3 linked regions of the Mus musculus genome follow. The protein of the gene in region 1 interacts with the protein of each later gene in a pairwise test. Links are inferred from orthologs where the notes say so. Each region holds a gene or a part of one and is shown on either strand. Other genes may lie near its edges. The genes, in order: Hsp90aa1, Keap1 and Rps3a1.

Evidence for each region.
Region 2: the proteins of Hsp90aa1 (region 1) and Keap1 interact in a two-hybrid assay, tested with the Homo sapiens proteins (2 studies listed by BioGRID). The link is inferred for Mus musculus from reciprocal best matches to the Homo sapiens genes HSP90AA1 and KEAP1.
Region 3: the proteins of Hsp90aa1 (region 1) and Rps3a1 interact in binary tests that used the Homo sapiens proteins (3 or more experiments, as listed by UniProt). The link is inferred for Mus musculus from reciprocal best matches to the Homo sapiens genes HSP90AA1 and RPS3A.

What each region holds. Positions count from the first base shown.
Region 1 is NC_000078.6:110,689,911-110,699,837, reverse strand, and holds Hsp90aa1 (heat shock protein HSP 90-alpha), read left to right. Parts: upstream 1-3,442; 5' UTR 3,443-3,586; intron 3,587-4,157; coding exon 4,158-4,319; intron 4,320-4,419; coding exon 4,420-4,786; intron 4,787-5,133; coding exon 5,134-5,267; intron 5,268-5,494; coding exon 5,495-5,815; intron 5,816-5,961; coding exon 5,962-6,127; intron 6,128-6,335; coding exon 6,336-6,526; intron 6,527-6,670; coding exon 6,671-6,818; intron 6,819-6,965; coding exon 6,966-7,234; intron 7,235-7,390; coding exon 7,391-7,724; intron 7,725-8,188; coding exon 8,189-8,298; 3' UTR 8,299-8,802; downstream 8,803-9,927. UniProt on the Homo sapiens protein: Molecular chaperone that promotes the maturation, structural maintenance and proper regulation of specific target proteins involved for instance in cell cycle control and signal transduction.
Region 2 is NC_000075.6:21,233,044-21,242,900, forward strand, and holds the start of Keap1 (kelch-like ECH-associated protein 1), read right to left. Parts: upstream 6,290-9,857; 5' UTR 4,667-6,289; coding exon 4,028-4,666; intron 1,031-4,027; coding exon 345-1,030; intron 1-344. UniProt on the Homo sapiens protein: Substrate-specific adapter of a BCR (BTB-CUL3-RBX1) E3 ubiquitin ligase complex that regulates the response to oxidative stress by targeting NFE2L2/NRF2 for ubiquitination.
Region 3 is NC_000069.6:86,137,613-86,147,287, reverse strand, and holds Rps3a1 (40S ribosomal protein S3a), read left to right. Parts: upstream 1-4,619; 5' UTR 4,620-4,718; coding exon 4,719-4,780; intron 4,781-5,486; coding exon 5,487-5,590; intron 5,591-5,861; coding exon 5,862-6,049; intron 6,050-6,600; exon of another isoform or gene 6,601-6,671; intron 6,672-8,039; coding exon 8,040-8,248; intron 8,249-8,429; exon of another isoform or gene 8,430-8,497; intron 8,498-8,695; coding exon 8,696-8,805; intron 8,806-9,177; coding exon 9,178-9,299; 3' UTR 9,300-9,348; downstream 9,349-9,675.

The sequences.
Region 1 (9,927 bases):
GCTGAGAATGGAACTCTCCTGCATGATGCTTGGGTCTTTTTTATTTTTTATTTATGTTTTAAGATTTATTTATTATATGTAAGTACACTGTAGCTGTCTTCAGACAGACCAGACGAGGGCGTCAGATCTTATTATGGATGGTTGTGAGCCATCATGTGGTTTCTGGGAATTGAACTCAGGACCTTCAGAAGAGCAGTCAGTGCTCTTAACCACTGAGCCATCTCTCCAGTCCCGATGCTTGGGTCTTAAGCATGGTTCATTTTAACTTTTTTTTTTGTTTCAGTTTATTTTTCTGTCTATGAAGAGCTGTTTGCCTGAATGAATGGCTGTGTACTGTGTACATGCAGTATGCTTGGAGTCAGACCCCTGGGACTTCCAGCTGTCATCTAGGGTGCTGGACTTGAACCCGGGTTCTCTGGAGGAGCAGCCAGGGTTCTTAACTGCTGAGTCATCTCTTCAGCCTTTCATTTTTAGCATTCTTATTTTAAATCTCTATTTACAAGGTGTTGTGTTTTATAAAAAGATAAGGAGAGGGGGGATATGTTTGGTGAAGGTGGAGTCAGATGTCAAGGTGTCAGGTATGGGGGAAGTGGTGCCTCTGCCGGCCCCTGCTGAGGCATCCTTTCTCCCTGAGGGACCAGGGGAGTTGAGAGGGTAGTAAAGACAGAGAAAGGCAAAGAGAGAGAGAGAGAGAGAGGGAGAGAGAGAGCGAGCGAGCGAGAGAGCGAGCAGAGAAGTAGAAGTCGGCCATGAGCACATGGCTAGAGAGGGGGGAGGAGAAGGGGGGAGGGGCAAGAGGACAGAGCAGGAGCAAGAAGCCAAGAGCAAGCGAGCGAGCCGCGGAGGGGCCGCAGAACAGCCCCTTTTACAGTGAGTCAGGTACCTGGCTGGCTGTAGCCAGATAACTGTGAGGCGGACCTTAGACAAAATGCTACACAAGGAATATAGTCTTTGCAGACAACCTTCACAAGCAAAGGTTGTTAATTGTTCTGAAGTTTGTGACTCTCAGTTGGTGAGGAACTTGGGTTAGACTCCGGAGTGAAGGCTCTCTCTCCTGTGCCCCTTTACGTTTCTAAGTTTCTACGCTACCTCATGTTGGTCACCCCGCCTTCCAGAAACCCTTTAAACTTGCTTCCTCTACTGGTTTCCTTTTTAGATTTTAGTTGATTGGTTGGTTGCTGGCCTGATTGATAACAGGAGACCTTAAGCCAGATCTTGGCCTTCAGTCCCAGCTACTTGGAAGGCTGAGATAGGAAGATGGAAATTCAGTCTGCCTGTGCTAAAGTTCCCTTAAAGCAAGTATTGGCAACTGAGAGCCTGTTCTGGCCCAGTGGAGGGCCTAGCTTGCCTAGTGTATCACATAGGTAGCCTTGGGTTCATTCCTGGTGTGGAGACCACAAAACCAAAACTAAAAAGCAAAAGTCCCTTCTAGGGTAGAGATCCTAACAGCTTGGAGCTTGACTTGTGGTTTTTATGCAAACAATTAAAAATCAACACCTAATAGTCCTGGCACCCAACACAAAAGGCCAGTCTTAGGGAAAAGGAGTGGCCCTGGAGAGTACAGCTGGGGACGATGATACACACCTCAACAGGAGCAGGCAGATCTATGTGAATTCAGGGCCAGCCTGCTCTGCATAGCAAGGGGTTGCAAAATGTGATCCTGTATAAAAAAAGCTAATACCTCAAAAAAGAAAACTGTTTCTACTTAATGCCCCCACTCAGTTCAGAGAGGGGGGCCAGAGGTCTTTCCTCAGCTGCTGGGAAAGGGCCTCGTTCCCTGGAGGGAGGGCGAGATGGAGATGGGTGACTTTCTTCCTCTCCCAGAGGAAATTGCCTGCTGTGTTTTTGTCCACAGAGCACATTCTTTCTTCTTTCTTCCCCCCAACTCCCCCAGACAGGGTTTCCCTGGTTGTCCTGGAACTCACCCTGTAGACCAGGCTGTCATCAAACTCAGAAATCCACCTGCCTCTGACTCCCTCCCGAGTGCTTGGATTAAAAAGGCTTATGCCACCACTGCCTGGCTTCCTCTTTCCCGGCTTCTTTTCTTTCTAAGCTTTTATTTATTATTTTATGTGTATTGGTGTTTTGCCTACATGTATGTTTGTGTGAAGGTGTCAGATATTGGAGTTATGGACAGCTGTGAGCTGCCTTGTGGGTGTTGGGAATTGAACCTGGGTCCTCTGGAAGACCAGTCCATGCTTTTAACCACTGAGCTATCTCTCCAGCCCTTTTCTTTCTAATCTTAGTAATCGTTTTGTCAGCAGGAAAAGATGCGGAAATAGGAAATACAGGGTGGGAGTAACCCAAAGGAAAGGTATGGGGAGTGAAACCGAAGCCTATATTAAAGATAAACAAACAAGGAAACTATCTTTTGGGTCACGTTAATCGCCCAAAGTAACTTCGTATGTACACCATATGAAGGTGCTTCAAAAATCAGGATAGAGTGTTTTATATGACCATTTTTTGACTGCGTGTGCCTGTGCACCATGTGTGTTCCTGGTGCCCGTGGAGGCCAGAGAGGATAGTTTATTTCCAAGAACTGTAGTAACTGGTGGTTGTGAGCTGCCTTAACGTGCGTGTTTGGCACCACTAACTGCTCCCAGCCATCTCTCTAGTCCTTTACACTTATTTTCACACTGTGCGAGTGTGTGTGTGTATGGGCACGTGGGAGACACAGCGCTGAAGGCTAGCTTTTTTTCCCACGCTCTGGGTGGCAGATATCAAACCCAAGCACCTTTACTGGAAGAGCCATCTTTCCAGCCCCAAAATTACAGTAAATTAAGGTAGCACAAATTTGATACAAAATCCCTCACAACGCCCAATTTGAGGGTCATAGCTTTTGGTCAAAGAGAAATCCCCAAGCACTCTGGACGGATTTGTAAGACCCACCGTGTAAGGTCTCTCAGTAAGCCCACTGTAAGGCTTCAGAACACACTCCAGCGGGGTCAGCCCTGAAATTCAGACTACGCAACCAGAACCCCAGTCCGGGAGGCGCCCCACCCATCAAGGTGGAAGCCAGGGGGGGGGCGGGACTCGCCTCCTGCGGGGTCCGCGTTCCCAAAGGGAGCCCGAAGGGGGACCTTTTGCCTGCAAGGACCTAAAGCGCCGCAGAGGACCGCGAGGTTCACACAACACGCGCGCGTTCCCATGGGGACGTCCCTTTTACAGAGCGCCGGGGAAAAGAAGCCTTAGACCACAGGGCTCACATGGAGGCTTCAGGCGCATGCGCTGGCCGGCCCGTCCGCGCGCGCGCGTGCGGCCCGGGAAGGCGCCCGGCCCGCCGAGCGTTCCGGACTGCGCATGTGCAGAGCACCTGGCTGTGGAGGAGGGGCTTGCGTTCGTTCTCCGCGCGGGTTCGGCGCGCTCCAGGTGGAGGGGCGGGGCCCGTCCATTGCGCAGGCGCGGGCGCGCGGCCGAGGCGACGGTTGGGGAGGGTTCTTCCGGAAGGTTCCGGAGGCTTCTGGAAAGAAGCGCCGCGCGCTGGGCGGGCCCGCCTCTATATAAGGCCGGCGCAGGGGGCGGCGCGCCAGTTGCTTCAGTGTCCTGGTGCGGAGCGTCACGTCTCGTGCGTGTTCATTCAGCCACGGTGAGTGATGGCGCAGGCGGACTTAGCGGGGGCTTGGGGAGCAGGGCCGTAGGTTGCTGGCGCCGCGGCGGCAGCGGGGCCACCATCCGAGTTCCCTCAGCCCGCGGAGGTGGGCGGCCATGGCTTCCGACCCTAGGCCCCAGGCGGGCCTCATATCTACGCCCCAGGCCGGGGATGCGGCAATGGCCGCCGAGGAGGAGCGGTGGCGGCGGCGAGGCGGGCGCGGGGCGAGCGAAGCGAGGGTTGGGCTGTCGCCGGTGCCGCCGAGGCGCGGGCGGGCGAGGGAGGCGCCATAGCGGCGGGTTGGGGGAGGGTGGCCGTTAGGAACGGCGTGCGTGGAGCCGCCCGGGTCCGAACGTCCTCCCGGAGGCGCGCACATGCGCTTCGTAATTACCGCATTCTGAAATGAGGTCATCCCTTTGTCATCCACCCCCCGCCCCGTCGCCCTTTTCTATTTCGTCCCTTTCTTAGTCCAAAATAGAGTCGGTAAGAGACCTCTATAGAGGAGGGGCGGTCGTTAGCACGCCTGCAGCCATTCTGTGAGGCTTTAGAGTCGTCCTCTGTGTTCCAGATGCCTGAGGAAACCCAGACCCAAGACCAACCAATGGAGGAGGAGGAGGTCGAGACCTTTGCCTTTCAGGCAGAAATTGCCCAGTTAATGTCCTTGATCATCAATACCTTCTACTCGAACAAAGAGATCTTTCTGAGGGAGCTCATCTCCAATTCATCGGACGTGAGTATACCACTTGGAGGATTGGACGTTGCTTTCCCTGAAAATTTCACCTTGGGGTTTGCGCTTGACGGTTTTTTCATTTTTAATCTTTTCTTAATAGGCTCTGGATAAAATCCGTTACGAGAGCCTGACGGACCCCAGTAAACTGGACTCGGGGAAGGAGCTGCACATCAATCTCATTCCCAGCAAACAGGACCGAACCCTGACCATTGTGGATACCGGGATTGGAATGACCAAGGCCGACTTGATCAATAACCTTGGCACCATTGCCAAGTCGGGCACCAAAGCCTTCATGGAGGCTTTGCAGGCTGGTGCAGATATCTCTATGATTGGCCAGTTTGGTGTTGGTTTTTACTCTGCCTATTTGGTTGCTGAGAAAGTGACTGTCATCACGAAGCATAACGACGATGAGCAGTATGCCTGGGAGTCCTCAGCTGGGGGATCCTTCACAGTGAGGACTGACACAGGTAGGCATAGGCCAAAAGGAATGTATTCAATTGTAGGGGGTGTCTGGTTAACTTCAGTAAGTGCTTGAGAGGGTTAACTTGGAGAGTTGAAGAGTTAAAGAGCAGTCTGGCATACATAGCCTTAGTGCTAAGTCCTGAGCTTTTCAACAAAATTGTTAATCTAAAGGGAGCTTCAGGACCTGGGCTAGGAAATAGGAAAAATGTATGGCTGTTTGCTCAGTTGTACATCTTGGGCAAGGAAGTTAAAGCTTTGGAGACCTTTGCATTTGTGGGGAAGGTTAGCTGCTAGGAAACCTCCAGCAAGCATGGAGGCTTTGAATAGTAACCATTGCCCTTTTCTTTTCCAGGTGAACCAATGGGTCGTGGAACAAAGGTTATCTTGCATCTGAAAGAAGACCAAACAGAGTATTTGGAGGAAAGGAGAATAAAGGAGATCGTGAAGAAGCATTCTCAGTTCATTGGCTATCCCATTACTCTCTTTGTAAGTTACCTACAGGGTAAATTTCATATAATTGAGATAACTGAGGCTGTTTAGAGTTCTGTGAACCTGGTGTTGTACTAGACAGATTAGCCTGTTTGGAAAGGTGGTATCTGAAGAGGATTGTGGAGAAATTAGAGAAACTACTGATGAGAGGCTTCTTGGTTGTACACATTTCTGAGATCTGTCCTAGTTGTATAAATTTATAATGAAGTGATTTGCCTTTCAAGGTGGAGAAGGAACGAGATAAGGAAGTCAGTGATGATGAGGCTGAAGAAAAGGAAGAGAAAGAGGAAGAGAAAGAAAAAGAAGAAAAGGAGTCTGATGATAAACCTGAAATAGAAGATGTTGGCTCTGATGAAGAAGAGGAGGAGAAGAAGGATGGTGACAAGAAGAAAAAGAAGAAGATAAAGGAAAAGTACATTGATCAAGAAGAACTCAACAAAACAAAGCCGATTTGGACGAGAAATCCTGATGACATCACTAATGAGGAATATGGAGAGTTCTACAAGAGCTTAACTAACGATTGGGAAGAACACTTGGCAGTAAAGGTGAGTGACTTAAAAGCAGGTTTTCAGGTTGACTTTTTAAACCTCTATACTCACCTATAGAAAAGCTTCGAAGTGTAACTTAGCCCAGTAGAGAAAGCCAATTCATTTTGTCCATGGCATTAAAAGGTTGTTTCATTTTATTGCAGCATTTTTCTGTTGAAGGACAATTAGAATTCCGGGCCCTTCTTTTTGTCCCAAGACGCGCTCCTTTTGATCTGTTTGAAAACAGAAAGAAAAAGAACAACATCAAGTTGTATGTTCGCAGAGTTTTTATCATGGATAACTGTGAGGAATTAATCCCTGAGTATCTGAGTAAGTAGGGATGGGAAGAATCGGCACTGTTGACAGACAGAAAATCCCATTCGTTGGGTCTGTGTTGGTGGGGGACTGAGGATGTAACCTAGTGGAGACGGGGTTTGCCTAACTTGTTTGAGGCTCTGGGCTCAGTCCCCTTGGAAAAAAGCCAAAAAGATTCCTTAGGTTTCAGAATGATTAAATAGGTGTCTTTGTTTTTCCCCAGATTTCATTAGAGGGGTAGTGGATTCTGAGGATCTCCCTCTAAATATTTCCCGTGAAATGCTGCAACAAAGTAAAATTCTGAAAGTTATCAGAAAGAATTTGGTCAAGAAATGCTTAGAACTATTTACTGAACTAGCAGAAGATAAAGAGAACTACAAAAAGTTTTATGAGCAGTTCTCAAAAAATATAAAGGTTGGTGGTACATTTTCTTGTTACTGGCAGTTTTCCAAACTAACTTGATTGGGGGAGGGGTCCTCACACACTTGCTTCTGCCTCCCAAGTGTGGGGATTAAAGGCTAATGCTTCATAAATGGCTTTCCTGTGCTTGTGCTTCAGCTTGGAATTCACGAGGACTCTCAGAATCGGAAGAAGCTTTCAGAGCTGTTGCGGTACTACACATCTGCTTCTGGGGACGAGATGGTTTCTCTGAAGGACTACTGTACCAGAATGAAGGAAAACCAGAAGCACATCTATTTTATCACAGGTAATGGTCAAGTAAACAGGTGTTTTCTCTACCTGTTGGACAGCACTTAAGGAGGCAAGAATGTCCAGCCTGTACCTAAGGGAAAGCTGAATACATGAAACCATTTCTAAAAGTAACTTAACAATATAAATATATATATTGTCTCAGGTGAGACCAAGGACCAGGTTGCTAACTCCGCCTTTGTGGAACGTCTCCGAAAGCATGGCTTAGAAGTAATTTATATGATTGAGCCCATTGATGAGTATTGTGTGCAACAGCTGAAGGAATTTGAGGGCAAGACCTTGGTGTCTGTTACCAAAGAAGGACTGGAACTTCCAGAAGATGAAGAGGAAAAGAAGAAACAGGAAGAGAAAAAGACAAAATTTGAGAACCTCTGCAAAATTATGAAAGATATTTTGGAGAAGAAGGTTGAAAAGGTATGTGAATGGTTACACATCACTCGTAGTCAGTTTGGTCCTTTTATCTGAGTTTTGACTAAATCACTGCTAATGCCTACAGTTTCAAATAATCATTTCTTTCTGGTAAGTTCTTCTATGGCCTAAGCCATCACTTAGTTTTTGTTTTAATTTTAGGTGGTTGTGTCAAACCGACTGGTGACATCCCCGTGCTGTATTGTCACAAGCACATATGGGTGGACAGCAAACATGGAGAGAATCATGAAAGCTCAAGCCCTCAGAGACAACTCAACAATGGGTTACATGGCAGCAAAGAAACACCTGGAGATAAATCCTGATCACTCCATTATTGAAACCTTAAGGCAAAAGGCAGAGGCTGACAAGAATGACAAATCTGTGAAGGATCTGGTCATCTTGCTGTATGAAACTGCACTCCTATCTTCTGGCTTCAGTCTGGAAGATCCCCAGACCCATGCTAACAGGATCTACAGGATGATCAAGCTTGGTCTAGGTAAATTACAGGCTACCTGTAACTAACATAAGGGAAAGAAACCTGTTGCAACTCCCCTTTAATCCTAGTGCTGGGGTCAGGGTGTAAAGGGACAGATAGGCCCTTTGAGTTTTAGGCCAGTGTGGCCTACAGAGTTCCAGGAAAACCAAAGCTATATATACTAACCCTGGCTTTAAAAACAAAAAAACGAAGTTGACTTTTGTAGCTATTGAAACAATTGGATTATTGCTGTTATGGAAGCCTCAGCTAAAGGGTTTGAATGAAATGAACAGTGACCTTTGTGTTTGAGGATGGCTTTGGGCTGGTTCTGCCTCTGTCCCAGTGCTGGGGTTTATAGGCACATACTTGGCTTGCCCCCTATGAATAAAGTTTCCTTTCAGGGGATTGGATGGGGTGTTAATGTCTAAAGCAAGTCTCCGCCTCCCTTAGCGGACATTAACTGTAACATTTATTTCCAAAACAAGGTATTGATGAGGATGATCCTACTGTGGATGACACCAGTGCTGCTGTAACTGAAGAAATGCCTCCCCTGGAAGGAGATGACGACACATCACGCATGGAAGAAGTAGACTAAGTCACCAGAACTATGTGTTTGCTTACCTTCATTCCTTCTGATAATATATTTTCCATGATTTTTGTTTATTTTTGTTAACATTTAAAACATCTGTGTGGCATGAAAACTAAGGGGAAGATAAAATTTCTACATGTGATACTGTGATACTATAGGTTTAACTCAAGAGGTTGATAGAGCGTTTGTTATAAGACGTAACGTAACCTACTGTTCATGTTTGCTCTGGTCTGAAGTGTTTAGCTGTTGAGCTGGATTCCTTAGGAGACCAAATTAAGATGGCTTAAATTACATCTTAAAATTTTCATTTCCTGTAGTTAATTCTGCATGTATTAGTCTTAGAAGTAAACACAAGTTAAAACAACCTGACAGGAATTCCCCAAGTGGCTTGTTTTCCAAAGTCCCGAGAACAACCCTAAGTTTCCTAGGTCTTGTAACTCAGCAAGGCTTGTGAATGGAAATAACAGTGCCCAATCACATTCTGCTTTAAAAGATAAATACAGAGGAGATAAAAAGAAGTGTGGAATGTGTCTTTTCTTTGCGCACCCCCACACACACACACACATTTGATCCATAAAAATTACACTGGTCCAGAGACTTAATCTTGTGTGTCCTATATGTGGACATCCTCTCTTCCCCAGCACACTCAGACCTTCTTGCTAGAGTGGGAATATAAAACAGCTGGTCTGTGGGGTTCTGGGATTTTGTCCTAGCACCTCTTAGATAAAGGCATGTTTGAAGACTTGGCTGGGTAGTTTGAGGCCAGCCTGAGTTCCATGAAATCCTGTCTTGGAGGCTATAAGGAAAAATAGTGGGTATTTACTATAGGGGGCAGGTAAAGAGCACTAACCAAAGCCGGGCGGTGGTGGTGCACGCCTTTAATCCCGGCAGGCGGATTTCTGAGTTCTAGGCCAGCCAGGGCCATAAGGAGAAACCAAACCAAAAAAAAGATTGGGTTGTAGGCGGCCCTATAAGACATTAATAAGTTGATGAGCTCATTGTAGGTGGTGCCATCCAGGATTCTATAAGGAGGCTGAGCAAGCCAGTAAGCAGCACCTTCTATGGCTTCTCCCTCCATTCCTGACCCTCTTATGTCCTGTGGAGATGTCCAGCAAATAAACTCCCCTTTTCTCCCCAAGCTGCTCTGGTCATGGTATTTCATTGTGGCGATAGAAACCCTAAGACAATCCCTTAAGAACTTTTTTACAGTTTTAATTACTGTTGTGAATATATTCATTCTGTATAATCATCTTCCAACTTGACTTCCCATCTGGCAACCACCATACAACTTTCCCATTGCTTTTGAGTTCTTACATAGCCTAGGCCGGCCTTGAATTCATGCCTCCGCTTACGTGACAAGATGGAACCTAGGGCTTCATGTATGCTGAACAAGTACCAGGCTGACTCCTGCCTCTCCCTGTGCTGGAACCTAGCTCTAAAGAGGCAAGGAAGTGGGACCCTACAGGATTTGGCTTGTGTCTCTGTAATATCATTTACTTGTGTATCTGACACCAAACCCTCTTTGCTGGTCTCACTTTGCAGAAAGCAACTTTAATGATTTAGAACACTAGGACTTCCTACTTCTTTAGCCAATTGTGACCAAGCAACGGTTCTCAGGCTTTCAAATGATGACCC
Region 2 (9,857 bases), on another chromosome or scaffold:
TAATGAGATCTGCCGCCCTCTTCTGGTGTGTCTGAAGACTGCTACAGTGTACTTATACACATAAATAAAATCTTTTTAAAAAGAAAGATACCAGAGCACTACCACTGAACTACATCCCCGTTCAGATGATACCTTTTAAAGTAATTATAAATTGCACAATATAATTCACGTATTAGAGTAATTCCTACTACCCCCAGTGTGCAGCGGTGGTTCCTGTAGGTTTGGGACAGCCCCCTCCAGTACTTCCCAACTCTGGACACTGAGAATGAACATCCCAGCCGCTCAACCTCATATGAAGGCAGGGACAAGAACAGGTACCGTCTCTTTGGGCCCCCGGTGCTCACCTCTCCACGCTGCTGTGGTGGATGCAGCCGTGGGAACCCCCGACTGCGTAGATGTGGCCATCTATGACCCCCACCCCGATGCGGTTGCGTGGCACGCTCATAGAGGCACAGGGCGACCACTGGTTGGTCATGGGGTTGTAGCAGTCCAGGGCGCTGGAGTCAGTGTTGCCATCCGGAGAGTTGTTGCGGCCGCCCACAGCGTATAGCAGCCCACCCACCACGCAGCCTGCCAGCCCACTGCGCGGCACCTGTAGATCGGCCAGGCGCAGCCAGGAGCCATTGCTCGGGTTGTAGGCCTCCAGGTAGCTGAGCGACTGTCGGAAGTAACCGCCCGCTGTGTAGATGAGGCGGCCCACTTTGGGCGCGCGGCAGGGCACTGCCTGCGTGGGCTTGTGCAGCGTGAGCTCCTGGAATATCTGCACCAGGTAGTCCTTGCAGCGCGCGTCGGCCTGCAGGATCTCACACTTCTGCAGCTGCGTCTGCAGGAAGCGCGGCGTGAGCGCATGGCAGCGCACGGCCCGCAGCAGTGCCTGCACGTAGAAGCGCCGCTGCGGGCAGTCGTATTTGACCCAGTCGATGCACGCGTGGAACACCTCGGACTCGCAGCGTACGTTCAGATCATCCCGGCTGATGAGCGTGGCCAGCTGGCAGTGTGACAGGTTGAAGAACTCCTCCTGCTTGGCCACCTGCAGGGAGCTCAGGTGAGAAGGGAAGCCCTCCATCCAGGCCGAGCACCCATACACCGGGGGTCACACAGGCCACACACTGTGGACTCTTTAGGCTCCTGTATTGATTTTAGTTTTAATTTTTTTAAAAAAATATATATATAGCTAGGTGTAGTGGCACACTCCTATAATCCCCCATATCAGGGGAGGCAGAGGCAAGAGGATGTCTGAATTCAAGGCCAGATTGGTCCCCATAAGCCAGTTCCAGACCAGCTAGGACAACATAGTAAGATCTTATATCAAAATAAACAATTGAACCTAGTCTGGCCTTTAATCCCAGCATTGGACTAATATTCACTTGGAAGGGAGAGGAAGATGTCTGTGAGTTCCAGGCCACCTGTTCTACATAGTTTTTAATTACATTTACTTATTGGCTTATTGTGTATGTGTGTGAATGTACTCATGTCTGATGGGGGGGGGGTCTCACCTTCCTGGGACTGGTCTTCTGGCTTGGCAGTGAGTGCCTTTACTAGCTCAGAAAGGCACTGGGTTCTTAATTTGTTTATTTGTTTGTTTGTTTATTTAACCCCAGGACTCATATGCTGGAAGAATCAACTCCTGCAAGTTGTCTTCTGACCTCCACATGAACTGTGGCACACACATTGCCCCCTAAATCAATACAATACAATACAATTTTTAGATTAATAAAAATAAAACATAAAATGACTGGCAGTTTACAGCTTGGCACTTGTTTTTTTTCAGATGTAGGAATATTTTACACAAATGATGAGACACCTAAGGAATAAGAGTATGGTATAAACAACTTCACTCGAGCCATCAAGGCCCATGTCAAGTCTCAGCACTTGGGAACCTGACATGTGAGAATCTTGAGTTTCAGACAAAAGCCAAGGGCCATGACAACCTGCTATCTCAAAAATCTAAATAAATAAACAAACTACTTTTATGCTGGTCCATATTGACCTTACACAGCTTCAAGGCTCTCTCTCTGTGTGTGTGTATGTGTGTGTGTGTGTGTTTGTCTGTGTGTAACTGGCCTGGAACTTTATGTAGAGCAGGCTGGCCTCACAGATCTGCCTGCCTTTGCCTACCCAGTGCTGGGATTAAAGGTGTGCACAGCCACACTTGGTTTATGTGAGGTGGGCATGGAACCCAGGGCTTCACGCATGCTGGGAAAGTGTCCTAGCAATCCAGCAGCACATGGGCCCTCTGAAGATGGTATGCCCTATGCACAGTGTGCCTGTGCGGTCACTGCCACCCATCTGGTGAGGTCAGGTGTGGACGGCACATGGTGTTCAAAAGCCTTGGGTGCACTTCAGAGTTGGTGATATTCAGAATGCAGTCGTGTCCAGGGGACTTTTCTAGTCACTGCCACCCAAGAGCAAGGCTTTCCCCAGCACTGTCCCATTACTTTCTCTTGCAGACTTCCTGCACTGAGAAACGAAAATGAAAGCAATACCAAGTGAACCCAGGGAAAGCCAAGCAAAGCTGGAGCCTGCATGGGTGAGGCTGGCGGGTGCTGGTGCCTGCCTGCTCATCACACTTTGCCCTGCTCTGGAGGAGATCAAGACAGGGTTTCTCTCTGTAGCCCTGGCTATCTTGGAATTCCCTTGGTAGATCAGGCTAGCCATGAACTCAGAGATCTGCCTGCCTCTGCCTCTGCCTCCTGAGTGCCGCCACCACCACCACACACACACACACACACACCACTTTTTTTAGACAGAGTCTCGCTGTGTAGCTCAGGCTGGCCATCACAACTTTTAACCCCAGGGAGATCAGGCTGCTGAGGCACTGGGAGGGCACATCTTTACCTATTCCTAAGGGCTCTCTGTATTTGGATTAGGGGCTCAGAATCTGAGTTTTTGGGCCAGCAATGTGGCTTTGTGGGTAAAGGCACTTTTCTGCCAGGCCTACCTGAGTTTAACCTAGAAACGTATATAAGGTAGCGAGAGCCACCTCCTGCAATTTGTCCTCCGACTTGCACACAAGATCAGTACATGTATACACACACAAATAAATATAATCTTTTTTTTTTTTTTAACTTCTTCAGAGTTTGGTGTTACTCAGCACTCAGAAAGTGACAGCAAAGACAGGACTTAAAACAAAACAAAACAAAAAGCAACTTCAATAGCCAGGTGTGGTGGCACATGCGGCCTTTACTCCCAAAGGCAGGAAGATCTCTGTTAGTTCAAGGCCAGGCTGGTCTACACATTGAGGTCCATGACAGACAGGACTGTTACCCTGTCCTGAAAAACAAAAATAAATAAAACAAAAAAGCTTCAGCTAAAGAAGACTGTCAAGCCAGGTGTGGTGGCGCACGCCTTTCATCCCAGCACTTGGGAGGCAGAGGCAGGCTAATTTCTGAGTTCGAGGCCAGCCTGGTCTACGGAGTGAGTTCCAGGACAGCCAGGGCTACACAGAGAAATCCTGCCTTGAAAAACCAAAACCAAAATAATAATAATAATAATAATAAGAAGAAGAAGAAGAAGAAGAAGAAGAAGAATACTGTCAAAAAATAAGACCACAGGTGCTCACAGTTGAGGGTACTACTGGCCTCTTCCAGAAGACTCGAGTTCAAATCCCAGCACCCACATGGCAGCTCACAACTGTCTGTAACTCCAAGGTCTGACACCTCACACACAGACAAACATTCAGACAAAACGCCAATCCACAGAAACTAAAGGCAAATAATTTTTTAAAAAAGATTTAAAAACAAAAGTAAAATCAAGTTCCGGGGCACTGCTGGCCTCCATTCTATTAAGTATTGGGAGGGCGAACGTCTGTAACTACAGTACTCGACAGACTGAGACAGGAATCAGGAATTTAAAGTCATCCTCAGATACCCAACCAGATTAGGGCCAGCCTGGACTACATGAGACCCTATGGGAGAAAAGAAGGAAGGAAAAAGAAAACACCCAACAGTTTTCCTCCAGCCTGTCGCAGGGGAGAACGCCACGCTGGCCTATCCCACTTCTGAGCCCAAAGCCCGGCTTCACTCACCTCCCCGAAGTGCATGTAGATATACTCCCGGGCACGCTGGTGCAGTTCAGTGCAGCCGATCTGCTCCGCGAAGTTGGCGATGCCAATGGCGTTGCTGGGGTCCAGCTGCTGCACGAGGAAGTCGCTGCAGGCTCGAACCACGCTGTCAATCTGGTACATGACCGCCCCGTTCATCACGTGCAGGACACACTTCTCGCCCACGGAGATGGAGGCCGTGTAGGCGAACTCAATAAGCCTTTCCATGACCTTAGGGTGGATGCCTTCGATGGACACCACCTCCATGCCCTGCTCCCGAAGCCCGTTGGTGAACATGGCTTTAAAGACTGGGCTGGAGGAGGCCAGCACCACTTTGTGAGCCATGAATTGGGCAGCTGGGATGTCCTCATATTTGACCTGCAGGGTCACGTCACAGAGTTGCTGGCTCAGGCGAAGCTCGTTCATGACGCCAAAAGCCTGCTTGGTGTGATCCTCTAGTGTGTAGCTGAAGGTTCGGTTACCGTCCTGCGAGGGCGTCACCTCTGCCTTGCACTCCGTGGAGGCATACATCACTGCGTCCCCGGCCCCCTCGGGGCACTTTGACCACAGGGGCAGGAACTGGCTGCTGCGGGGAGCCCCGCTAAGCTTGGGTTCGGGCTGCATGGGGTTCCTGATGACAAGACACAGTTCCTCTGCTAGCCGTTAGGGGCCTGGAGGGAGGGAAGAGCACAGCGCTGGGAACAGAGGCTGGGTTAGACCAGACCCTGCCACTTTATTTTATTTTATTTGAGACAGGGTCTTACATAGCCTAGGCTGGCTTCCAACTCACTATGCAACCAAAGCTGGCTCCTCCCGAGTGCTGGGATTACAGTATGTGCCACCATGTCCAGCCAGGCTTCTTTTTTTGCAAGACTAAGCAATGATATCTAAGTGCAGATTTTGCCAAGCCAAGTAAACTGGACACAGCCGGCTCCATTCAAACTAACTTCTCAACTCGCGGGCCTTCAGGGCATATCATGTTCCTTTTCCTGCTCAGAATCACCCAACACCTTTCACCGAGCCCAAGAATGGAAACCCCAAATCGTCAATGGCCTGTAAAACTCCACACCCGCTTTCCAACCTCTTCACTGTTCCAGCCATCCTTCCCTCCCCTTGCCTTCGTCCAACATGTCAGATTCCTTTCAACACCACACCAACATTTACAGAGCCTGCCATTTATGTATTTGGGACTGCTCTGAGCTCCAGAGACACAGCGAGAAGACAGAAAAGGCCTAAAAATAAAGCAAGGTCTGTATAGGAAACACTAAGCGAACACCAAGCTCCTGGGGCAAGAGAGTGTGCAGCATCTGGAACACCCACGGGGAGGGATTCAGGAGACCCTTGGAGACCTGGGGCCAGGGGAGGAATTATGCTTTCAAAGAAGATGTGGGGAGACAAGAGAGGGTCTGCGTCTGGCTCCCCAGGTTCTGGGCTCAGCCTGGAGTCGCGACTCCGCGTGTTTTGTCTATTAGATCACCGTGGGGAGGGGGGGGATGAAATGCTCCAGGGGCCCCAGCTAGTGAGCGACTGTCACGCGTGACCACACTGCCGGAGCTCGGGCCTGGCATTGCGCAGGGGGCTGTGCAGCGGCCGCCCGGTACCCGGCGCCTGCTCCAGCGGCCTCCCCACCGCTCGGAGGCGCAGCCCTGACGCCGGGAGAGCCCGCAGGGCCTGGTCCCGGGCCGCGGCCTGGAGCGGCTCACTCACCCCGCCATGGCCGCGCTCTGCCTCCGCCTCCGCCGCGCGGGTCACGGTGACTAAGCACAGCGCGCCACCCTGTCACAATAAGAGTCCCGGGGCGCCGGCCGCGGGCGACCCCTACCTCTACTCGCCGCGGCCACCACCCTACGAGGGCTCACGGGCTCGGCGGCGGGGTGCGCGCTTGGAGAAGGGCACGCGCTTCCCCCCACCGCGTGCACGGCCCCACGCGCGACCGCGGGCAGCTCCCGGAGCTGGCTCCCCACCGCATCCTCCGCGGGCGCTCGCTCACCTCCGTCCCACCCCCCCGGGTGTCTCTGTAGGTGCCACGCGTCCAATCCGCGCCGCCGGGCCGCCACGCGCCGCGCTTCCGGGAAGAGAGGAGGGGGACCGGAGTGGGGGTGGAGGGCTCGGATCGGGGCAGCGGTGCTGCGGGGTCCCGGGCGGCACGCGTGGGAGGAGCGGGAGGGCGGAAACGGGCGGCGGGTACGCAGAGGCAGTTCCAGCCCTTCCTGCAGGTGCCGGGCGGAGGGAGCAGGGCGTGGGTCTGGGCGGCCCTAGGAGGCTGCCTCCGGGTTAGGCTGTCCGGTACGCCTCCAGCTGAACCTGCACCGGCGGACCCTCCCACAGCCTGCACGGTCCAACTAGACCCATCTACCTGGTTGCGATATTTATCTTCTTGTAAAATAACTTTTTAATGTTTTTATTTCAATTTGTATTTTACTTTGTGCGTGTGGGTGTTTTGCCTGTATATGTATGTCTGTGCAACGTGGGCTGTGCAGTGTCCCCTAAAGTTACAGGTGGTTGTTAGCTACCATGCAAATGGGGGAATTGAACCCTGGACCACTGCAGGAGCAGCAAGTACTCTTAACTGCTGAGCCATCACTCCAGCCTTATAACTTCTTTTTGAGACAGGCCTCATTACATAGCCCTGGCTGGCCTTGAACACACAGAAACCTTCCTGCCTCTGCCTCTGCCTCCTTCGTGTGCTGTGGTTAAAGGCTGGGATATCACTCTGGGCTTTGTGTACATTAATTTGTGTGTGTGCTTGTGTTGAGGTCGGGGACGGCTGGCAGAAACTGATTCTCTTCCCCTATGTGGAGCCTGCAAAGTGCAGCTCGAGTGCTCCAGAGACACACTCTCCTCTCTGTGTGTTCATGTTTTCATGAGGAGAGGTATGGCATTCATCTGAGGGTGTTGGAGTGTTGGAATGCCCAGAGCTGCCTCTTTGTATTTCTCGTAACATCTTTATATATTTTTAATGGTAAGAGATACTTATTTGCTGCATATGGCATTTATGAGAGAAAGTTATTTTCTTGAACTATCAAGATGGCTCAGTGGGTAAAGGAGCGTCTGGCCAATTCTGGCCACCTAAGTTCCACCTCTGGTACTCACATAGTAGTAGAAAGCTTCCTCCTTCAGGTTGTTGTCCGATAACCTCCACATACACACATAAATTAACTTTGAAACATAAAGTTAAGCCAGGCGTGGTGGCGCACGCCTTTAATCCCAGCACTTGGGAGGCAGAGGCCAGCCTGGTCTACCCAGTGAGTTCCAGGACAGCCAGGCTACACAGAGAAACCCTGTCTCGGAAAACCAGGAAAGGTGGTTTAGAACACGTGTTGCTTTTGCAGAGGACCTGGAGTCCACTGCCACGATGCCTCACAGCCATCCATAGCTCCAGTTCAAGGGGACCCCATGCTGTCTTCTGACCTCTGTGGGCACCATGCAGGTAGGTGGTGCGCAGACATACAGGCAAGCAAAGTACTCGTGTACATAAAAGGAAATAAATCTAAAAATAAGAATATTGAGGGGACACATCTGTAATCCCAGCCACCAGGGCACTGAAGCAGGAGGATTACCTCCAGTTCACAGTAAGCCTGCTCGACCTAGCAAGACCTTATATCAGAAAACAAATGAATAAATATCAAAGAAAAGGATAGTTTCAAAAGAAATTTACCACGGGAGTCTGAAGCAGAGGGTTGAATGTTTGAGAACAGCCCAGACTACACAGTGAGACTCTGTCTGGGGTCAGGGAGGCAAGGAAAGCCAGGCATGGTGTCGTATACCCTTAATTTTAGAAGAAGCAGAGACAGGTGGATCTCTGTGAATTTGAGACAAGCCAGGGCTCATAGCAAGTTCCAGGCCAGCCTGGACTGCATGGTAAAACCTTACTTTGTTCTATTAACTTAATAATTTAAACAAAACAACAACAAAAATGCAGGACAGCTGAAATTGGGACACACTTGTAATGCCAGCACCCAGGAAGCTGGAGGAGAAGGATCAGAAAAGTGAAGGACGTCCTTGGCTACAAAGTGGTACAGCCTGCCTTACATAGTGAGACCCTCTTCCAAAATCAAAATGGCAAAAAACAACAACCAAAAAACCCATCTCAGGTCATTTTCCCACAGAATATGTCTGGAAGGTCTCTACAAATCCCAACAGTGCTTTTTAAATTTGGTATTTAAATAGGGAACTGAGTACTTTTTAAATTTAATATCAGAATCTCTAAGTTCCCTACTGTTAAACCACCAAGCCAACACACCAGGAAAGATATGAGATCTGAGGGAGGGTCTCTGGGAGCCAGCCGGACTGTATCCCCACCCCTCACCCCTGCTAGCTTTTCGCGAACTTCTGGGGAAAAAATTCATTTTATGCAAGTTGGCCCGCAATCCCAACCTGAGCGCATCCCCTTCACCACCTGCTTTCACTCTGCTTGCAGTTCCCAGAATTACCTCAAGGGACGCGCTGTTCCTTAACCAGCGGCTAAAAGCAGAACCCAGGCAATTCTCAGAGCTACTGCAAGGTGGCGCCCACACCCAGAGACTTCAAGGGAATCTTAGACTAAGAGCAGCGAATACCAGGCAAGCCCCTCCTGCATGGGGGTCCCAAGGGTAAAGCCGTACTAAGACCCTGGGGCAAGGGAAATCTGTTAGTTTCTTCATCTACCAAATGGAGGTTGAGGGCTGGGACTGGGTTTTGTCGCCACACAGCATAAGCCACGTGTGGCAGAGCACACCTTTGCTCACAGGAAACAAAATTCACAAGTATAAAGTCGTTTTTTTGGCTTCGTAGTATATTTAAAGTCAGTCTGGGTACAAGAAGCGTTGTCTCAGTGTGGGGGCTGCGGGGTGTGTGCTCATGCTGAACCTGGAGTGCACAGGAGCAGCCTCGACGTGCAGAACCATCTGAGTCCAGGAACCTGTCCACGGCACAGAGCAACCTTGTCATTGGTGTCAAGGACCTCGCATGAATATGAACCAGATGAACATGGCCGAAGTTGACATACAAGTTTAATGAACAGTTTAAACCTATGCTGTCTGTGGGGGGTATGGGGGGAAGCGGGTAGGAGCAGGGAGCAGGCATGAGGGGGCACTATTTGCAGGATGGGCGAGTCAGGTGATGCTGTTCTGAATCTGGTTGGGGAAGGCTGATGAACAGTCTAAAAGAGCTTCTCACCGTAGGGAATCGGTAGATGTTTGTCATAATTAGTGAGAAAGCAAAGCAAAGCAAACAGGGGTGGGGGTGAGATGGTAGGGCAAAGGATATTCGGGGGATAAAGGTGTTTGCTGGCAAGAATGACAGCCTGAGTTGGATCCTTAGGATCCCTGTGCTGGAAGGAAAAAACCGACTGAGGAAAGCTGTCCTTTGACCTCCGCCTGCACTCCTGCTGTGCCCAATGGGTACCCGTACATATACACAGGCACAAAATACATAAGTAGATAAAGGCTTTTAAGACACAGTCTCAAGCTGGGCATGGTGGCGCATGCCTTTAATCCCAGCACTCGGGAGGCAGAGGCAGGCGGATTTCTGAGTTCGAGGCCAGCCTGGTCTACAGAGTGAGTTCCAGGACAGCCAGGGCTACACAGAGAAACCCTGTCTCGAAAAACAAAAACAAAAACAAAAAACAAAAAGACACAGTCTCACTATGTAGCCCAGGCTGGCCTGAAATGATGTTGCTGTAAAGTAAAGGCATATCCAGGACCACCCCCACCCCCACCCCACCCTGCGCAGCCCAAATTAGCACTCAGAAGTTCCAGGCCAGCCTGGTTTACCTAGTGAGTTCCAGGCCATCTGAGGCTGCATAGTGAGTGTCTCTCTCAAAATAAACAATGAA
Region 3 (9,675 bases), on another chromosome or scaffold:
CACCTTTTGATTTGATTTAACATCCACTCTCTGAGAGAAAACCCGTATCTGACATTGCCAACATGGCCAAGAGCCTGAGATTAGACAGGTCATGGGCTTAGGGGAAAACTGGAACTGCTAAAGGAACATAGCAATAAAATGACCCCCAATGACATAATTCCATTTCTGTAGGTCAGTGCCCCACTCAGCCTACATCAGAGAAGCTCCTTCTTAAAGTAACTGGGAATTAGCAAAGAGATTCACAATTGGACAAGGTGTGGAGAATGAGAGACGACTGTGGAGCACTCAGTCCTAGATGTCTCCATCCCCTCAAGGGTAAGGGAACTGTGTGGAGAGGAAGCAAAGTGCTAAGAGCCAGAGCTGATGGCTGACTAAAGGAAGCAGCATCTTCCAGACACAGCAGGATTGGTGCACATATGAGAAACCACAGATTTGTTTGTTGCAGATGCACAGGGCCTGCACAGGTTCAAGCCTGATAAAGTCCTAACACTGAGAGGGAAAGGCAGACATGGGGTCTGCTTTGTGGTTTTTTAAATTTATTTTTATTTTTTAGTTTTTTTTTTTTTTTTGGTTTTTCGAGACAGGGTTTCTCTTTATAGTCCTGGCTGTCCTGGAACTCACTTTGTAGACCAGGCTGGCCTCGAACTCAGAAATCCTCCTGCCTTTGCCTCCCGAGTGCTGGGATTAAAGGCGTGCGTCACCACGCCCGGCTATTTTTAGTTTTTTAAAGACAGGAGAAAACAGAACATAAAGTTGGACGGGTAGGGAGGCAGAAGATCTGGGAGGGATTCAGAGAGGGAAAAACATGATCAAAATATGTTGGGCAGTGGTGGCACATGCCTTTAATCCCAGCACTTGGGAGGCAGAGGCAGGTGGGTTCGAGGCCAGCCTGGTCTACAGAGTGAGTTCCAGAATAGCCAGGGCTATACAGAGAAACCCTGTCTCGGAAAACCAAATAAACAAACAAAAACAACTCAAGAAACAAACAAAATATGTAGCGTAATTCTTTTCAATAAAATAATAAAGTCAGATTCTCACTATATAGGCCTGACTGGCTTGGAATTCACTATGTAGACCAGGCTAGCCTCTAACTCATAGATCCAATTGTCTCTGCCTCCTGAGTGCTGGGATTAAGGGTGATACAGGGTCTCATGTCTCATTTGAGGCTCTGTTGGCCTCAAACTCCCTATGTGTTACCTTGAACTCTGATCCTCTGCACTTCCTGTGTGTTACACATGCCGCTGCCACCTCCTCTTCCTCCTCCTCCTCCTTTCCTCTTTTCTCAAATAGCGGTTCTCTGTGTAGCCCTGGTTGTCCTGGAACTCTGTAGACCAGCCTGGCCTGAAACTGATCCACCTGCCTCTGCTTCCTGAGTGCTGGGATAAAGGCAAGCACTACTACTGTTCAGGCGTGCATTTCTACACCCAGTTCATGTGGTGCTAGGCTTTGTGTCAGACGAGCATCTAGGAACTGGGTTACATCCCTAGCCCTTTGTTTCTGTCTTCTGAATTGTAGTAAGAAAAATAAGATCTATTTTCAGATTACCTTTTGACGTGGGGAGGAAGGGAGTTTGGTGAACTGTGCTGAAGATCAAGTCAAGGCCTTCCTAACTGTAAGACAAATGATCTCTATCACTTACTTACATTGCAGGCCTCATCTTAACGATCTCTGAGGATACACTTGGGTAGTTTTAAATAGAGTCACACAGTAAGGACTGGAGACATGACAGACAACTGAGATTTGTGGAGTTACTGAGGACTTTTTGGGTGGGACTAAAGGGTCAGGGAGATTGGCTCAGAGGGCAGGGGTAGGAGGACTAGGAGGGATCTTAAGAGTTAAAGGCTTGCCGAATGGAAGCTATGCTGTAGCTGTGAGGGTTTGGTGGGACTTAATGACTACCAAGAAGAGCCTGAGGGCAAAGAAAAGCCCCGAGGGCCCAGCATCCAAGGTGTCTGCCAGGCGTGACTAGTCACAGACTGGGGAGTTCAAGTGCTTTTAACATGACCGATCGGAACAAAGATGGCTTCATCAACAGAGAAAAGTTTCATCATATGCTTCCTTGTTGGAGAAAAAGTCCAGCTGATGAGCATCTTGACTGATGCTATGATTAGTGAGGCTTCGGGTTCCATCGAATTCTGACAATGTCTTCTGAGAAGTTAAACAGGACCCATTACGAAGTTTGGTACCCTTCAATGGGGTGACTCGATGGAGGAGCAGGAATGGTGTGAGAGATCCATTTATAGGACAGGGTGGATGAGCTGCAGAGAAAGGCACCTGTTGACAGAAAGGGAAACTTGATTACACTGGACTCATACACATCCTAAAGAGAGAGAGGCAAACGACAGAGAGGATGGAGGAGAGCCTCACATTCAGCTAGAAGCCAGAATATGACGAGACTTCTAGCTTCTTGGGAACCTGAGGTGGGAGGATCCTGTAAGATCTGGGAGAAGGCGAAGCCACATACAGAAACTCCATCTCAAAATAACAATAATAGCAACAGTTGTAACCAAATACTCCTAGCTACTACTTGGGGTGTTTATATTATAACACACACACACACACACACACACACACACACACACACACACACATTTACACATTTCTTTATGGTCAAGGACGATGAACCAAGTTACCTTGGTCACACCAATATACACTGTCACAGAGCAACATTTCCAGTCCTAGGTCTTCAGAGAAAGGCCTCACTGTGTAGCCCAGGCTACCCTCAGAGACTCTTGTCTTGGCCTTCTGAATGCTAGGATTACAGGGGTGTGCCATCACCCCTGGCTCCACAAGTTCCTTTCAACTAAACAGGTTTTGCTGTTCTTGTTTTAGCCTCAGACAGCTGGGTACATGTTATCTTTATAATAGGCATTTCTGTCATTTCCCAAATATAGGGTAACATGACGGTAGCCCTCCTCTCAAATCAGAGTCAATTTTGTTAAAGAAAGTTTTCAATTTGTTTCTGAACCCTAATCAATCTTTATATCTGAAGGGGAAAAAAAGCATTTAAAAACTTCTTGGGAGCCTGGTGAAGAGGGAGTTGGTTCTGATTTGGTCACCATTTTTTTTGTTTTTGGCCTTGGCTAGAGAGGATGTTAGAGTTCTGCCCTTGAGGTAGCTGGTGACATGTCACCAGGCTGTGATCTTCTGAACTAGATGTGGCAGAGCATGTCAGCAATGCCGGCACCCAGGAGGCGGAGGCTTGAGGAAGGTGAATTTGAGGTCAGCCCGAACAACACAGGAGGAATCTTGTTTTGAAAAATACTAACATAAGAATGGGGAAGCCATTTTTTATGGTGGGGGTTTGGGGATGTGGAGGGGTGGAGATAGAGGTAGAGAAATGGCTTAGTGGTTAAGAGTAGTAGTGACTGCTCTTCTAGAGGACCCAGGTTCAATTCCCAGGACCCACATGATAGCTCACAACTGTCTGTAACTCCAGTTCCAGGGGATCTGGGACTTTCACACAGACAAACATGCAGGCAAACCATATAAAATAAAAATAAAGACATCACTTTTAAAAGTGGGGAAGGGGTGGTTTGCATTAAGAAAATTGGTGGGCAGTTAGGTACAACAATTGATCACGACTGTGCCTTTTTGGGGTGCTAGAGATGGAATCCGTTGTCTCAGGCATGCTGAGGCTTTTCCAGGACACCACTCTAGTCCCCACTCCACTAAAAACCCAAACACTCCTCCTATCCCAGAAAAAACAAAACCAACCAACCAAAAACCCAGGGCTGTCGAGATGGCTCAGCTGGTAAAGGCACCTGCAGAGACCTCTCAGGCAGTGAGGAGGCAGGGCACATTGTATGGCAGCGCTGCGGGCCAGTGTGCGCAGGATGGCAGCCTCTCCCTGAGCCTTATACCCACATAGTGGAAGAAGAGAACCAACTCTTGAGAATAGGTCTCTGACCTCCACACAGAGACCTGTGAGGCACAGGACCACACACATAGTCATACAAAAAAAAAATGTGATTACAAATGTGTAAGAGTTACATATGTATATATGTGTGTGTGTGTATATATATATTCTCTCCTCTCCCCTTCCCAGTCTGTCTTGCTAGGTAGTTCAGGCTAGTACTCACCATATACTCCAGGCTCTCCTCCAACTTGCTGTCCTCCTGCCTCCAGAGCTCTGGGATTGCACACACGGCTAAGCCTCTTTTTTCATGAAAGTTCACAACACAGCCAAGCCCAAGAGTAGTCAGCACGTGAACAGCGTGCCCGAAGTCATGCTTATTGAATTACACTAATGTTTTGAAATAGATCACATGAATATTCCCGTTTTACACCCGAGGGAACTGATGGCTAAAGAGGTCAGAAGGCTAAGTACTGTTGGAATCACCATTTGAACATGGATTTGCTATCTCTGATTCAAAGCCCATGGTCTAGGGAAGAAACGTACTCTCAAAATTAGAAACAGAGAGTTCCCACCCTCGGGGCAACGGAAACCACAAGAAACCTGAAGTGGGTTGAGCATCTCTGACAATCTGCAGGCTCCCATGCACAGCCTAGCCAGCCCGCGGCCCGCTGCGCGACCTCCCGACACACGAGGGCGCTGTCGCAGCACGGCGGGAAACGAGCCGCCAGCTAGTGTCGCGAGATTCTTAAAGCCGGAAGGGCGAAAGAGCAAGGGTCACGTAGACGGCGCTCCCCGCCCGGCTCGCGTTAAGTTCTCGCGCGAGTTGTACTTCCGCCCTTTTGGCTCTCCGGTCGGCACCATGGCGGTCGGCAAGAACAAGCGCCTGACGAAAGGTGGCAAGAAGGGAGCTAAGAAGAAAGTGTGAGTGGCGGATCGCGCGGGTCCCCGGCCGTTGGGCTCCGCAGGAGTTGGTGGGCGGGTTCTGGGGTGCGGCGTGGGGCGGATGGTGAGGATGCGGGGTGGATTGCGCGGCGGTGCTGCGCTGCGCGGCTGGCGGGTGCGTCCCGGGCGGCCGCCTCTCCGCCACCCGGCCGGGTGTCGCGCGCCGCGTGTGATCTCCGCCCTGCGTCTCTAGCAGTCGCTCGCGTGTCGCGCGCGAACTGTGGGCTCCTGGGTTGCTGGAAGTCCGTGGCACTTTTTAACACCGCTCTACGTCAGTCACTCTGGCTGTCCATGTCGGGACCCCATGTCAACTTGTGTGCTGGGCTCTCGTGGGACCGACCTGGAGACCCGGGACACTTGTTTAGCAGCAGTTTGTGCTGTTGCGGACCAGTCACTGTCACAGGTCCCTGAGGTTCCAGGGCAGTGTGTATATAGTACTGCCTGTGTGATGGAGGAGTGGGGAAGGCATGGCTTCGAACTTACTGCTTTGTGCACTGGCAGACCAGCCGGCCTCGCAGACGTTCACCCCACGGGGAGGACGTCCGTCGTGTTAAGTGCAGGCCGATTGCAAGATCGTGCCTGGGAAACTGTTAACAGAAGTCTGAAGGATAAGAAGCGTTTAAAAGTGGTCGGGAGTGTTGTTACAATTTACAGAGAAACTTGAGGTTATTTTTCTCCCATCCAGGGTCGATCCATTTTCTAAGAAAGACTGGTACGATGTGAAAGCTCCAGCCATGTTCAATATTAGGAACATCGGGAAGACACTAGTCACGAGGACTCAAGGAACCAGTGAGTACTGTGGGCCCCTTTTGCTTTGTTCCTAAGCTGTGGCATGTGCATATTAACCGGCGCCTTGGTCAACTCTGATGGGGCGCTGGATTGAAATGTCAGCCCAGTGGTTGGAGGGCCTGGCATTGGGAGTGCTTGGTCTTAGTACAGATGTGGCAGCAATGAAGTGTTTGTACAGCTGTCCAAGAGAACGTTTAGGTGTTGGCAGTAAGCCACTGGTGTGAAGGTGGGTTTGGTTAACAAGTTAACAGGGTTTGTGGTTCTTTTTTAGAAATTGCCTCTGATGGCCTCAAGGGTCGTGTGTTTGAAGTGAGCCTTGCTGATCTACAGAATGATGAAGTTGCGTTTAGAAAATTCAAGCTAATCACTGAGGACGTTCAGGGCAAAAACTGTCTGACTAACTTCCATGGTATGGATCTTACCCGGGACAAAATGTGCTCCATGGTCAAGAAGTGGCAGGTGAGACCAAAAGCTGCGAGTGTGAGTGCTGTGGTGTGGGTGTGCAGATGTGTCATGGGTGTGTTGGTTGGTAGGTAGTATCAAAACATGGAATGGAGAAGTTGGTTTCATTTCATTTGAGTATCACTGTTAATTCTTGAGTGCTGGAGGTAGAATCCAGGGCTTTCCACATGCTGGGACATCAGTCCTAACATTGAGCTGCATCCTTTAACTTGGTATTGCTTGTTACGGCCACATTAGGTGAGTTGGGCAGCTTTGCCAGTTTGGGGACTGTTCTAGGGTTAACATCGTTAGAGTTGATAGAGAAAAGGTGCTCTATCTAGCTGACTCAGTTGTCTGACAGTGGAGTGTGGCTAGAGTCAGATTCGGTCCCCTTCTGTCCTTGAAAGTAGTAACAAGCTTTGATAGCTTAATTTCTTCAACATCAGCCCCTGGGGTTGTGAAGATGAAATGACATGTAGGGAAATGGGCTTAGCATGGTGACCAGCAAAGAAGGCTGATTCAAGGGAAAGCTGTTCAGATGTATCCTGATATTGACATTGTATATGGGAATGAGTGATGACAAGATGTTTCGGTCCCAAATGAAGCCTACTGATTACCGTAACATTTATTGCTGACATTCCCTTATACTTTATGTAATTTTGGAAATAATAGGCTATTTAGTACATACTGATGTATATACTCCTTTGCAGTGAAGTGGATGCCAGGATTTTGTTTCCGGGCAGTTCTGCTGGTCTCAAATTCTTGAGTGATAGGATTGAAGGCATGTACCACCGCTCACGGCAAATATTGGGTATATTTGAGAACTTAATATTTGTAAAATTCAAAGAAATCAGATCGCTTTGCCACAAAAATGGTCCTCTAAAAGATGGTAGTATGGTCTAATTACAGATTTTGTTTAGCTTTGGATCTTAGCTTTGGAATTATGTTTTTAAGTTCTTTGTGTAACTTAGGAATAAAAAGGCATTTAGAAAATACAGTTTTACAGCAGAACTTCTCCACTGCCCTCTTTCAAGAAAGGATCTTCAGGTCTGGAGGGATGGCTCAGCAGTTAAAAGCACTGACTGCTTTTCCAGAGGTCCTGAGTTCAATTTCCAGGAACCACATGGTGGCTCAAAACCATCTGTAATGGGATCTCATGCCCTCTTATGGTTTATCTAAAGACAGCTACAGTGTACTCACATAAAATAAATTTTTTAAAATAAAAAGGGTCTCCAACCTGTTGTGATCTGGTACTTGCTATGTAGACCTTTGTATACTGAGTGCAAGGATTGCAGACATCTGTCATGTACAGCTTATTGTGTGTTTGGTTTTTTTGGGCTCAAATTCCTAAAAGATCCAACATTTTTGTGTGTCCTGCTTGGAGTACTGAAACTAAAGCCGCCACACACAACCTATTTTTCCTTTCTAACAGGATCTTTCTTTTCTTCCTTTTGTGATTTTTTTTTTTTTTTTTTTTTTTTTTTTTGAGACCGGGTTTCTGTGTGTATCCCTGGTTGTCCTGGAACTCACTTTGTAGACCAGGCTAGCCTCGAACTCAGAAATCCGCCTGCCTCTGCTTCCTAAGTGCTGGGATTAAAGGTGTGCGCCACCACACCCGGCTATTTTTCCTTTTTAAAAGATAATATTCAGTTTCATTCTGTCTATACTATCTTAGAATTTAACTTACAAAGCTTTTATGTTTGAGGGATGTTGACATAAATGTAAAGGGTATGGGTCCAGTTGATTGTTTTAAAGGGAGGGCAACAATGATTTTGGGGTATCATTTTAATTTCACTTTAAGGAAGTGCCATAAACGGTATATTTGTCACGTGGGCTTGACATTTCCAAGGTTTTACATTAGCACTTAAAATGATTTAGGCCGTGAAAAACATAAAAGGGAGGGGAATCTCTGAGTTCAAGGCTAACCAGGGCTATGCTGTGAGAACCTGTCTCAGAAAACAGCAAACCCCAAAACCATTATGAGCTGACAGTATCCTTTTCTCACTAGACCATGATCGAAGCTCACGTTGATGTCAAGACGACCGATGGGTATTTGCTCCGACTTTTCTGTGTTGGCTTCACTAAGAAACGCAACAACCAGATAAGAAAGACATCCTATGCGCAGCACCAGCAAGTCCGCCAGATCCGGAAGAAGATGATGGAAATCATGACCCGAGAGGTGCAGACTAATGACTTGAAGGAAGTAGTTAATAAACTGTAAGTGCGTTTCTTTTCTCTCCTCTAAAAATGTTCAGAATGCCTGTTAAATCATCCTTCTGTTAAAGAAGAGGTGGAGTTGGACCTCAGCTTAAGCACTTCTAACATTGAAGTTATCTTACAGTGGACAGTGAAAATTAGACTTAATACACAATGAATAACAACTTTAATAATGCATGGGAACATGTGATGAGAAACTGTTTCGGTCCCAGTTGATGGCCACTGATAACATTACATTTTTCTGATGTTCCCATGCAGTATACAGGTGGTTAAGCGTGTTAGACAAAAAAGCATAAGGAAGACTTAAACGTTGATTTTGTTGCTAGGTGTTAAATTTAGATACTAAGATTGTTTTTTTGCCATTTAAAGAAAATTGCTTCTTGTATGAGAGACTTTGGTGGGTTTTTTGTTTGCGTGTCTTTTAAAAAAAGTTTATTGTTCTTGCAGGATTCCAGACAGCATTGGGAAAGACATAGAAAAGGCTTGCCAGTCCATTTATCCTCTCCATGACGTCTTTGTTAGAAAAGTAAAAATGCTGAAGAAACCCAAGTTTGAATGTAAGTGGGAAATCATGTTTCATGAGATAGAAGTTTGTGGAACCAAGTACGTGGTTTTAGAAATGACTGGTTAACATTCTTGATGGGTGTATGTGTATGAGTGATTTGCCTCTGTGTGTGTGTGTGTGTGTGTGTGTGTGTGTGTGTGTGTACACACGTTCCTGGAGACGTTGGTGTTGAGGGGCTGCGGCTGCAGATGGTTACGAGCCACCTGTGGGTGCTGGGTGCTCTGCAAGGACAAGTGCCACCTCTTCACCACTGAGCCAGCCTCTGCATGAAGGTTTTCAGGGCAAAGTAACGGTCGCTTCCTTCGGGCTGTAGTTTAGGTTCTGATACTTGTTTCTAACAGGATCCTCTTCCTTTTCCTTTCAGTGGGCAAGCTCATGGAGCTGCATGGGGAAGGCGGCAGCTCTGGCAAAGCAGCTGGAGACGAGACGGGTGCTAAGGTTGAGCGAGCTGACGGATATGAACCGCCAGTCCAAGAATCAGTGTAAAATCCAGATTTTTAATAGTGACAAATAAAAAGTCCTATTTGTGATCGTTTGCTTCTGTCCATTGATTTGAAACACGAGAGCCTGGTGAATCAGGTGTTGATTTTAGTGGGTTTTATCCATTAAGTTAGAAGCCAGGTTAGTAATGAGACAGGGTGGGGCTCTGTCTGGCCTCCAACAGATTTGCATATATCTGGTTTTAAGGCGTGTGCCACAACACCCTGAAAATAGAAACCAGCATACTCCCAAAGTTCTTTTCTCCCTTTAAATAACCACACTGCTCAGTAGCAGAGTTAGTTATAAAGTAGCAGCAACAAAGATGGTTTTATCATGGCAAAAAGGGTCACAGCATTAGGGTGGTTAGGACCACTGGGTTAGA